Linked DNA regions of Rattus norvegicus. The protein of the gene in region 2 interacts with the protein of the main gene of each other region in a biochemical or structural test. Links are inferred from orthologs where the notes say so. Each region holds a gene or a part of one and is shown on either strand. Other genes may lie near its edges. The genes, in order: Wnk4, Oxsr1 and Wnk1.

The links.
Region 1: the proteins of Oxsr1 (region 2) and Wnk4 are reported together in a solved structure, tested with the Homo sapiens proteins (2 studies listed by BioGRID and IntAct, with this or other methods). The link is inferred for Rattus norvegicus from reciprocal best matches to the Homo sapiens genes OXSR1 and WNK4.
Region 3: of the proteins of Oxsr1 (region 2) and Wnk1, one has a biochemical effect on the other in vitro, tested with the Homo sapiens proteins (2 studies listed by BioGRID and IntAct, with this or other methods). The link is inferred for Rattus norvegicus from reciprocal best matches to the Homo sapiens genes OXSR1 and WNK1.

What each region holds. Positions count from the first base shown.
Region 1 is NC_086028.1:86,701,391-86,705,761, reverse strand, and holds the start of Wnk4 (serine/threonine-protein kinase WNK4), read right to left. Parts: upstream 2,923-4,371; 5' UTR 2,779-2,922; coding exon 2,170-2,778; intron 1,483-2,169; exon of another isoform or gene 1,448-1,482; coding exon of another isoform or gene 1,403-1,447; intron 721-1,402; coding exon 548-720; intron 1-547. UniProt on the Homo sapiens protein: Serine/threonine-protein kinase component of the WNK4-SPAK/OSR1 kinase cascade, which acts as a key regulator of ion transport in the distal nephron and blood pressure.
Region 2 is NC_086026.1:127,884,226-127,887,872, reverse strand, and holds part of Oxsr1 (serine/threonine-protein kinase OSR1), read left to right. Parts: intron 1-1,169; coding exon 1,170-1,271; intron 1,272-3,128; coding exon 3,129-3,262; intron 3,263-3,647. UniProt on the Homo sapiens protein: Effector serine/threonine-protein kinase component of the WNK-SPAK/OSR1 kinase cascade, which is involved in various processes, such as ion transport, response to hypertonic stress and blood pressure.
Region 3 is NC_086022.1:154,825,081-154,828,727, forward strand, and holds part of Wnk1 (serine/threonine-protein kinase WNK1), read right to left. Parts: coding exon 3,572-3,647; intron 3,063-3,571; coding exon 2,946-3,062; intron 2,602-2,945; coding exon 2,428-2,601; intron 2,226-2,427; coding exon 2,168-2,225; intron 2,068-2,167; coding exon 1,945-2,067; intron 1,363-1,944; coding exon 1-1,362. UniProt on the Homo sapiens protein: Serine/threonine-protein kinase component of the WNK1-SPAK/OSR1 kinase cascade, which acts as a key regulator of blood pressure and regulatory volume increase by promoting ion influx.

The DNA.
Region 1 (4,371 bases), on a different chromosome or scaffold from region 2:
TTCCCAGGCTGGAGAGCCACAGGAGTGACAGTTCAGAATGGGAGGGATCACAGAATTGGGGTTGTTTGTAACTTCAGCTCAAGAAGAGAGTGTCTGAGGGAGTGAATGCACTTTACCCCCAGGGGAGTGGGAAATCCTGAAGGGGTTTAAAAGAGCAAGTCAAAGGGTCAGGCTTCCCCTGGGTTGCAGGAAGATAGGATAACTTGAAGGGAGGGCAGATTGGGAAAGGCTCTTTAGGAGGGCTTCTGGGAGTTGGGAGGGGTCAGTGGTATAGCAGCAAGGTAGAGGAAAAGATGGGGGGGTGCAGTGGGAGGATGTTAAACAAAGACTTAAGTGACCCCACTGTTGAGAAAGAAGGTACATTGCAGTAAAGATACCTAAAGTTTTGACTGGTATGCTTGGTGTACACTGGCATTCACACAGTCTAGTAAGTGGGAGAGAGCCTGGTTTCAAGTGTGGAAGTTTGAAGTGACTGGGAGAAGTTCCCAGAGCCTTGGAGTGACGGGTGACATTCCACCCCTCCCCTCCCACCCAGGCCAGAGCTCACGTCTTGAGCGTGCCCGAGGTCATGAGTTCTGTGACCAGCACGATGCAAACCTGACCCCTCAGCACCGACTTCCAGGAGTCATAGAAGCGGACGATGTTGGGGTGCTGCAGCCCCTTGAGCATCTCAACTTCCTCAGAGAAACGCTGCCGTTCAGCCCGAGAGAGTTTCCGAGTCTGTGGGATGGGGGTGACGGAGGGTCACATCAGATCCAGATCAACCCCCCCCAAGAAGGACATGGGACATCTAGGGTATGGTGGGGGGAGAAATGAGGGAGGGTATAGTTGGCGAGATCTCTAGCAGAAGGGCTGTAGACCCCCAACTTTTGGTTGATCCCTTCTTATTGCTCCAAAACACACCCACCCTGGGCCTGGGGCAGCACTCCGGACCCCCTGCTGGACACAAGCGCCTTTATGCAACCAGGTCTGGGAGCTATGCACTCAATAGCGCCTTTGTGGCCGCCAGAGCCGACCGTGGAAGGGGTGGGGTGGGGTGAAGGGGGGGTGGCAGACGGCAGGCAGCAGGCAGCAGGCAGAAGGCAGACCACGGGCAGGGAATTGGGGCCGACAAGGGGTTGGCCTTAAAAACTAGGAACTGCAGAATCTAGACAGAGTCCGAGGAAGGTACCAAGAAAGAAAAGATCCAGGGCCAGGAGACCACCCCCCCATGGCAGGAGCTGCCCTACCCCTCTTTTCTCCCTCTCCCTCTCCCTCCCCTGAGTCTGGCTGATTCTCCTGGCCTGGCTTAGAGCCTGGGGTGCGGCACTAGCAGTGACTAGCGGAGAGCCCTATGCCAGGACCAAAGTGGAAGGACCCTTCCTCCTGGTTTTATACCCTAAAAATTTCCGGGACCACTCACACATAACAGTGGGAGACACGGGAGGAAGAAACTGCCAATCAACATCCTCCTGAAGTCCAAAGGTTGCAAGAGCTCAGCTCCTTTGGCAATGGAAAAGGAGATTCCAGGTATGCATAGGGATGAGAAACTGAACTGGACTCCAGCTAGAACTAGAGCTTCCTGTCCCACTCCTTGAGGCTGTTAAGAAGTCTGTAAAACCAACAACTCCAGAAACGGCCTGGAGAACCCCCTTCTGGAGGTGGAGAGGGCCTTGTCCTCAGCTCCTGAACTCCCACATATTATTTCTAAGTTTGTAAAGAGGTAGGAGGAGGAGAAGGAGAAGGAGGAGGAGGAGGAGGAGGAGAAGGAGGAGGAGGAGGAGGAGGAGGAGGAGGAGGAGGAGGAGGAGGAGGAGGAGGAGGAGGAGGAGGAGGAGGACCAGAGACACAGCAGAAGGTTTCAGGACTTGGAGGAGCAAGAGAGGAAGGGGCAGTGATACCCCAGGCAGGAGACTGGAGTGCTACCCGCTGCAACTCAGTTTTCCAACCCTCAGATTTGTAAGAAGGTTTGAAAGTGAAGTTGTCTATGCTCATTGGGAGCCACTGTATACCATCTGCCTCAGTTTCTCCTGAAACCACCCAGAGTCAGTAAAACCATGCCGGCAAGGAAAGCAAGAGTGCCTGGACATCTGACAAAAAAGTGATCCTTCCTTTGATGCTGTCCTCCCTGTTTCCCCAACCTAAGACCACCAAAGGGGCCCATCCCACCTAGGGGGTGCCCAGGCACACCTGCAGCTCACACCAGGCCACCTCTACCGTGGTGTCGGTGTCTAGCCCTCGATACACGGTCTTGAAGGAACCTCTTCCAATCTCAATGTCAAACTTGAGGTATCGGCCGTCGGGAGACGTTGCCACAGCCTGGGTCTCTGTGTCCTCTTTTTCTTCCTGCTCCCGCCGCCGTTCCCGGGCTGCAGCATCAGGAACCCTTGGTGGCTCCCGGGACCCCGGACCTCCGGAAGATACTGTAAGCTCAGGACAGGCAGAGTCTGCAGCCTTCACCGGGGCTGCCCCCGTCCATGTGCCCTCGGGGTGTTCTTTAGAGTTTGAAGGTGGGCTCCTCATGGGACCAGCGGAGTCCGGAGGATCAGGAGGTTCCGGAAGGAGTGAGGCTGGTTGAGACCAGGAGCTCAACAGTCCCAGATCGACTGAGCTGCGGCGGCTCGGTCTCGAAGAGCGCGGCCGGGGCTCAGCCTTCCCAGAGAAGCGGCGCACTCGGCGAGGAGGTGGCCCCAGGCGGGTCGGCCCCATGGAGGTGAGAGACGGAGATGGCCGCAAAGCCAGGTCGGCCTCCGTTTGGGACATGTGGACCCCGGTCTCTGTATTTCGAGGTGCTAGCATGGGAAGGGCCGGGCGCCGCAGAACGGAAAGCCGGCGGCTGGAGGCAGCAGCCTGACAGGCAGACCGGCTGGATACGCAGCGCTCCGGTTGAGCTGCTGGGGCCCCAGCCCCTGGCTGGCCTGCCCGGCGACCCGCCCCCGGCTCCGCCCCACAACCCGCCCCCAGCCGAGACCGGTCCTCACCCCCCAGGGCCGCCCCCTTGTGAGCCTGACGTGTTACCCAGTGGGGATAGGTAGGGTACTGCCCCTCATCTCAACCTGTGCTTAGCCCCCCCCCCCCCCCCGGCTCCGTGCCCTGCTTTCCAGAGTCCCGGCCTTTAAACCTTCTTCCCAGCAAGAGCTGAGTGGGAGGCGGCAGCGGGTATACTCCCGCACGAGGAGAAGGCAAACATGTTTGGGGTGGGGGAGTTGAAGAACACTGGAACAGGAGATGAAAAGTGACCGCCACTCCTTTGCTTCAGTGAGGGGGAGGGGCACCACCAGCCTGCGCACCCTTGATAAGGCAGTACTACTCGGTCCTAATCAGAAGAAGTAGCCCCAGGCCTAACATCGGTGTTGGAAAGGTAAGGTTTTCTTCACTTAGCTAGCCCCCTGGTCTGCACTAGGATGGGTTGTGTTTACTCCAGACAAGCCCCTCCCTACCACCAGGCCCCAACCAAGAACTGGTCACCCATCAGCTCCACCCCACCTTGGCCGGAGCCTGCCCCTGGCCAGAAAGGCTGTTTTTTGCTGTGGGCTCTCTTTCCTCCCCTCGTGTTTGCCAAAGTCTTCAATAAACCAAAGTCCACATCCGGTTTACCCCACCAGCTCCCCTTGGCCACAACTACCCCACCCAGACCATCATGGGTGGAGGGAGGGGCTTTAGAATAGAACTTCCATGGGGGAGCAATGAAGTGACTCCAGTTTAGAGAGCAAGCAGTCTGTCCCCAAGCTGTGTTCTACCCGCACTCCTCCACACAACTCACCCAGCACATGGCAAACCACAGGCTCACTGGAGCCCCCCAGGCCCTTCCGTACAAAGGCCAAAGATTCTTCTATTTCCTTGGCTGGGACTCAATCAGGTGGAACTCTGCACCGCCCTCCCTAGTCCCAATCCAGCAGTAGTAACAGGCAGACAGTGGGAGTAGAGATTTTAATATCATAAATCAGTGGGCCTGCCTCTCACTGCCAGGCCCCTTCTGGGGCTTCCTATCTTTATATTGCCTGGAAGGCTGCCTGCAGCCAGGGCTTCCCCCATCCCTAGGAAGGATCCAGCACCAGCCTGAGAAGGGAGGCAACAGCAGCTACAGGAGTGGGAGGAGGAGGAGGAGAAAGAAGCTTGTGCAGGCGCATGTAGGTGGGTGTGTACTTATGTGTGAGAACACATGTAAAGTGTCAGGTTTATAGACCCTAGCTCAGGGACAGTACAGGATAGGAAAGGAGGTAGGGCAGGCAACACATCCTTTCTCCATGGCACTGTGGGCTACCCTATCCCAGGGACAGATAGAACAGGTTATGTGGGAAACATCCCTAAGTCTGAGCTTTCAGGACTTGAGCCCTTTGAGTCTGGTGGAGTGACAGATCCAGTCTGTGGGGACACTAGGTCTGTCTCCTT
Region 2 (3,647 bases):
AACCAGCCTACTTCTCAAGACTCTAGGTTACTTTCAGCACTGTATAGGATTTACTCATGAGTGTCACAGATGTGTTACTATATACATATTTTCCCATATACATACATATATTACTACATACAGCCTGTGAAAGGAGGGCACTCCAGGCCATACAGGGTCTTAAGAGGCCACCACACTTGGGAACAGAATGAACAAACATAGGCTGTGGAGAAAGGCTGGGGCAGGGGAGAGATATGAAGGAATATGGGACTTCATTGGTTTTCCTGGAATGGAGGCTATGGTGGGGCTAAACCTGCTTCTCAGGTAAGCAGGAGCTGCCCCTGATCTGTCTGGTAGAGAAGCTTGTGGGTATAGGGAATACTGTCCATGGAGGAAACTCTCCTTTGCAGACCCTCCTGTTCTACCAGAAGGCAGCACAGCACACATACTGACCCCTGAACTTCTCCTATGTAGCTCAGTATAGAAGATTAAAAACGTGTGACTGACGTGACAGTGGCAGTGGAGACTAGCAGCCTGTTCATGCCAACGGCTTAGCTATCCACAACCCCTTTGTAATGATAACATTCCAGCACGTACTTACATCACCCAGGAAACTGAGACAGAGTAGAGAATTCCAGGCCAGTCTGGCCTACCTAATGAGATCTTATTCTCAAGCAAACAAGAACCTCAGGTCGAGGGAGATGGGAAAGGAGTGGGGAGGTCAGTGAGGGGAAAGACATGGAAGGAAGGAGGAAAAAAATCATATAGAACATTTGGAACAGAAAAGGATTATGGAAAACCTTGGTTCTGGATTGTTCTTTTTAGTTGTTTTTGGTAAATAGAGTGAATCTTGTAATTATCAAACTTAATGATAGTTTTACACTTTTATAAGTGCTTTATCAGGAATACTTTCTGTGTTTTCATATAGAATTATTAAGTACTGCTGTGTCCTTTAAAGGACTGTAATGGTTGTAGTTTACTGGTTAAAGTTTGTGAGCACATTCTGGTAGTGCACACCAGAGGCTGAAGTAGAAGAATCAAAAATTCAAGGCCAGCCTGGGCTGCACAGGGAGACTCTCACTCCCACCTTCCCCAACATGACACACTAGAAACTTGTGCAAAAGTGTTTTAGCCTGGTTAAAGTAATTGTGTATCTCTCTCCCCCTCCCCCTCCCCCCAATCCCTTTCAGGTTCGAGGTTATGATTTTAAAGCTGATATCTGGAGTTTTGGAATCACAGCGATTGAACTAGCCACAGGGGCAGCTCCTTATCATAAATATCCTCCAATGAAGGTGAGGCTCACGTTCTAAGTATTATTCCCCGTCCAGTCCGGTGACTCTTCAGAGCCTTTTATGTCTGTCAGTCATAACCATAGTTACTTATTTTCCTAGAATTTTTATGTATATTTTAGCAAAATACAATCTTTCTACACTCATATAACCGTTTTTACTTTGTATTGTATAGGGATCAAGCACAGGATAAAGCATTTTTGGTTGTGTATTTATGTGATAAGTCTGTTCACGATGTCATCACCACACCCCGACTCTTCCTTGGGTTCAGAACCACTGACCTTTGGTTTAGTTCTTCACAGAATATGTACGGATTGCTGAACTTGCGTCCCTTTGCTGTCCTGCGCACACAGCGCTATTGGTTCTGACTGCATTTTGGTGTCTGGTATCCAGCCTCCTCGGTTCTCTACTCATCTGCCTTTCACAGGCTCTGCTGGCAAAGCAACTAAGGTTGCAGCGGAGGCAGGGAGAATGCGAACTAAGAGTGTGAATGGAATGTAGCCTTGCTTTGTTACTTAAACAGACAGAAGTCAAGGAGACACGGGGCGAGCAGTAGGTGAAGCTAAGGAGTCCATGCAGTTGTTTGGCAATGGAAGAAGTAGGTCTGTGAACATGAAGAGATAAGGAATTGTAACTGAAGGATGTAGCAGTGTCTGTCGGCAGTGGGCACTTCTGGGGATCCACCATTTTTGTATAGCTTTTAACTAATGTCCAGTCCACACGGGAGCCTTGGGCTCTCATCAGCTAGTCTGTTTCTTGTGGTGCTGGGCATTGAGCCCCAGGTCTCATACATTCTAGACAAGTTCATATTATCTATCCCCTGACTCTAAAACTCCACCTAGATGGTAACTTGTATATGTGTACCTGTGTGCATGTGTTCATGTGTGCATGCATATGTGTGTGTGTGTGTGTGTGTGTGTGTGTGTGTGTGTGTGTGTGTGTGTAGGCCCATGTATGTCTAGGCTTTTAGAGACCAGAGGTTTTTGTCAAATATGTTCCTCAATCACTTTTTGCCTTATATTTTGAAACACGGCTTCTCCCTAAACCTTGGAGCTTGTCAATTTGGCTGGACTGGCTGGCCCAAAGCCCGAAGGACCTCCCCCACCCCACCCCCCAGCCTCACTCCCCCTTCCCAGCTTGGATTTCAGACTTAGACCACCACACCCACCTTTTTTATGTGAGTTCTGAAGGGTTGAACTCAGGTCCTTATACTTACACGGCAATCTGAGCCATCTCCAGCCCCTAGATGTCAACTGCTAGAAAGTAAAATCTGCTTGTGTGTTGAAAGGTTTTATCCTTATTGAAAGTTCTTCATGTGTTTATACTATACTAAAAAATTTTGCAGGTTTATTGGTATACTTTTGTGGGCTACTTTGTTGGGTTCCTCCTTTCCAGCCCTAATTTCACCCCGATCCCTTCCAACTCCCATCACTAGGTAGGAAAGAAAGAAGGTTAGAGGGGAAAGGGGGCATAGGTCTCTTTAGACTACTTCCCACTGCTTAGGGAGTTCCTTGGGGCGAGTTCAGTTTTTGTCGTTAGGATATCCAATTTTTTCTTTTCATCTCTTTGCTTACAACCACTGGACAAGCTACAACAACAGAAACCAGCAGTAGCAGGGAGAGCAGCAGCCTCCACAGGCTCTCCTGGGGTTCTCCCATTGGTATACTCTCAAGAGTACCCAGAATTCCAGTCGTAAACTATCTGCAGCTGGCAAAAATCACATCCCTCCTAGAGCATGAGGCAAATCATAGTTAGCTGCTGTAGGCACTCAAAAGCCTGTGTCCACACCTGGGATTAAAACAAAAAACAGTCACATAGCATCACTGGGTTTTTAAAGAAACCAAAATTCTTACTACACAGGTTTTAATGCTGACACTCCAGAACGATCCTCCTTCTTTGGATACTGGTGTTCAAGATAAAGAAATGCTGAAAAAATATGGAAAATCATTTAGAAAAATGATTTCATTGTGCCTTCAAAAGGATCCAGAAAAAAGGTAAAATATTAGGTAAACATGACATGTGTGTTCTGATACGTACAACTGTGTGTGGGCGCACCAAGGGTTACCTTTGTCATGTACACAGTATTATGTGTGTATTCTTAAAATGAATGACTCACCAGTGCTGGAGACAGCCAGGAAGGCCACTGCACAAGCTGGAGGGGCCTGAGCTGATGTCGTGCACTCACAAGTGTATAATAGACCTAAGTTGCCCAGATATTTCTTGATTAATTTCTTAAAACTGAATTTATATTTGTGAATTCTGTATTAGTAAAATGCCATGTTAATGGGCAAGTTTTTCTTTTTTTCAACCTTCACTTAAAAGTGTAACTGCCATTTACAGTTTAATAACAAGAGGAGCACAACCACACACTTATATTTC
Region 3 (3,647 bases), on a different chromosome or scaffold from region 2:
GTGTGCCTGGGGTAGAAACTTGACCAGGTGTGCCCACTGGCATAACTGGCATGCCAGCTGTTCCTAAGGGTAAATTGGTTGGTGGCAAGCAAGTGCTTGTAGTGGAAGTCATGAGTTTACTTGGTGCTACAGCAGTGGTAGGGATGCCCGGTGTGACAGTCTCTACTACTAAGGGTGTCTCCAGGGAGACAGAAGCATGCTGAGTTCCAGATGAGCTATGCTCACTAAAGAGCGATCTCAGCTTTTCCTCCAGAGTCTTTATATCATCGATCCCAGGAGCTTTGGACTGGGTATCAGCATCCATTTCGGGACAGTGTGTGTGAGGCTGGTTGGGAAGTAGAGCTGGTTGAGGCTGACTATGAATGAGTGTTTGCTGTACAGCAGGCACATTAGCAACAGGTTGTACCAAGGGTGGGATATTAGGTACTTGGGGTAATAAAGGTGTAGAAGTAGGTACTGCTGGTTGTGGGAGGACAGGTGTAGAAGCTATAGCTGATGAGATGACCAAAGGATGCACAATACCAGGCTGAGAAACAGAACTAGACACTGCTGTTCCAGAGGAGGAAGAAGAGGACGGTGCGCAAAAGGACAAACCCAATCCTGCTGTACTACTGTGAGATGCCTTGTCTAGTGAGTGTGCACTAACCACCACTGTTTCAGCTAGTGTAGGAGCAGATGTGCTGCTACCAAGTGGAAGGGATGGCTGTGAAGCCATGGCTGGGAATGGAGTGGTAGTAGAAACTGATGTCACTATGGCTACCCCAGCAGTATTACCTGCTACCTGTTGCAGTAATACAGTTGGAGGCTTAGCATTTGGGACAGCTACACTACTCACTGTGGTACCTGTAGTTGTGGAAAATGTTCCAGAAGGAAAACTGCCTGTACTAGAAGCAATGCTCCCAGATGTGGAAGCCTGAACTGGTTGGGATGTTGTAGACACTGTGACAACTGCAGGCGCTGTAGAACTTGAAACTGCACTGGAAAGTGTTGGTGTCTCAGACACAGACAATGTGGTGAGACCACCTGAAGCTACCACACCTGTGCTGGTGGTAACTCCCCCAATGCCTTTGTCAGTGGGCAGTGCACCCTCTGACTGCATCACTGATGTGGAAATGTCATTAAGAGGGCTGCTTGTTATAGGGACTGATACTGATGGTGTGGATGCTGCTACAGTTTGGACACCAGCAATGCTAGTCAAAAAGGGAGAAAATGTTGGTCCTGGGTGATTAAAATTTGGAGGTGCTGTATTGGGTCCTTCAGTCATCTGACCATGTTTCAGTTCAGAAAAAGCCTGCTGGAGACTAAGGGATGAAGCGGAGTGAGATAAGTTCATTCCAGGGCCCTGAGATGTAGAGGCCGCAACTAGAAAAGAAAAAATAAAGAAATTACGCTATTTAAAACATGTGGATTCAAAAAGAGTGTCTTTGAGGAAACATTATTGGATTATTAACAATGTTACACATCAGTATGTCTTATAACTATTCCCAAGGAAATGACACGCTGTAAAACAGTATAGTAGTTTGACATAGTAAGGCAGCTTATAATTTTGAAAACCATCAAACATAAGACTAGCCTGAAAACAAAATTTATCTCTAAGTATAGAAACACAATACTGTGTAGGTTCTATTTAGCACGCCTGGTCCTTTATGGCCTGCTGTCTTTCTTTTTCTTTGGAGAGAGGGTGTTACGTAGCCACCCAGGCTGACCTCAAACTCCCGATCATTTCCTCTTCCCTGTCTCCTGAGCATGAAATTACATGCACGTGTCATGTTCAACTCTAAATTTTATTTCAACACTATTTTAGTTCATTTCCCTCTTCCATGTTACTTTACTATTACTTTTAATTTTATACTTTTGATTTGATCATGAGTTATTGTTTGATCAAGATTCCGCCATACCAGAGATGCTATAAGATTTACCAAAGCGTGGCTAAATCATTCTTACCTGGATCTGGTATTTCACTGGTGAAAATTTTTGATTCTCGTAATCGACTTTCTGGAACTGGACTCACTATAAATCGTCTTCCAGCAGAATGAACAACTTGTGTTAAAGAACTGGTAGGAACACCTGAACAAAACAAATCATTGAAATTCATATATACTGTTATATATAAATAAAGCCTTGAGATTTCACTATTGGCACATACAACTTCAAAAGAAAAGCTTACCTATTTGTTGTGGCATGGAAGATACAGCAATTGGTTGCTTGAACTCTCCTTCTAATTTCTACAATAAGCAAAAGTAAAACTCTTCTCAAATGCAACCTCCATGATTATGCAAAGCAAACTGTCACATTTGATGCGCACATAAATGTTCATTCTCAGGCATAGAGGTACTAACTATTGCATCAGTGGATATTCTGCTTGATAGGTTAGGCAGTACAGAACTATTTTAAATACAGAACTAACTATAGCTATGGTGAACATACCTGAGAACCTGGAAAGCCATAGTCATCCTTTCCTTGTAGACTCTCCAATCCCTGGTCACCCTCAGGCTCCACACTGACATCCTCGCTTAACATTTCATCAGCCTTTTCAATAATTTCCCGCACTTGAGCCACAAAAGACTCTCTCTCTATGGCTAGAATAAAGTCATTGTTCACCTATAAGAAATTTGATATCAATCTCATTAGTACATTATTTAAGCTTTTAGTCATTCAATTACCAATTCATTTTTATGACTCCAATCTGTACATCAGCTGTACTGTGTATGTGGTATTTAAAATACTACTTTCCTTCATAAGACCCTGAACACATACACAGCTACATCTTAGACGAAAGCCATCTCTAAATCATAGAATCATGGGTTGGGTATGCTAGTTTTAAAGCAGAAAATAAAATTTATCATTAAAATGAAAGTGGATGGCAAAATACTGCATGGTTGTCTAGGACATGTACTTAAGACCATATACTATGGGAAAATGTGGAAATCCAAATGGAGGCATACCATAATTGTTGCTATCTCTTCAGGGTTGTCACCATCTAGGTCAAATTTAAATGTAACCATTTTCCGATTATGAGTCTCCAATTGACATTCTACTACTCGGTCTCCTTTATTTGAAACCTAAAATGAGAAAGGTAATTCATATTCTGATTTATTACTGAATTTGAGAAGTCATCTTGAAATTCCTTGAATCGTTGGGTGTGTATGTGGTTTTTTGAGACAAAGTTTCTCTATGTAGCGTCCTGGAACTCAGAGATCTGCCTATCTCTGCCACTCAAGTGCTAGGATTAAAGGTGTGTGCCACCGCCATCAATGTCTTCAATCTTAACTGGCTAAAGAAACCCGAGAGGTCTTGCTCAGCCCTTGCCCTCTTTTCATCTTCCATTAACGAAAGTATCTAGTATCTTTGTTTTGTCAGCTCAAACTCCAGAGCTAGGTGCAACAACAAAAAGAAATGTAATAGTCAACTAACAGAGATTAGGTATATTAAATAAAAAATCTGCTATAAAATTATATATAAAGATAAGGCATCTTTATTTTAACCAAGTGAGTGGTTTAGATCTCATGATCTCTAAAATTAAAAGTACTAAATTCTTTAAATAATACAAAGGTTGAAAATCAATATTTACATTTAAAATCCTCAGTTTCGGGCGAGAAGTCTTTTCATGACGAGAACGACTTCTTACAGATTTTCGATAATGACGT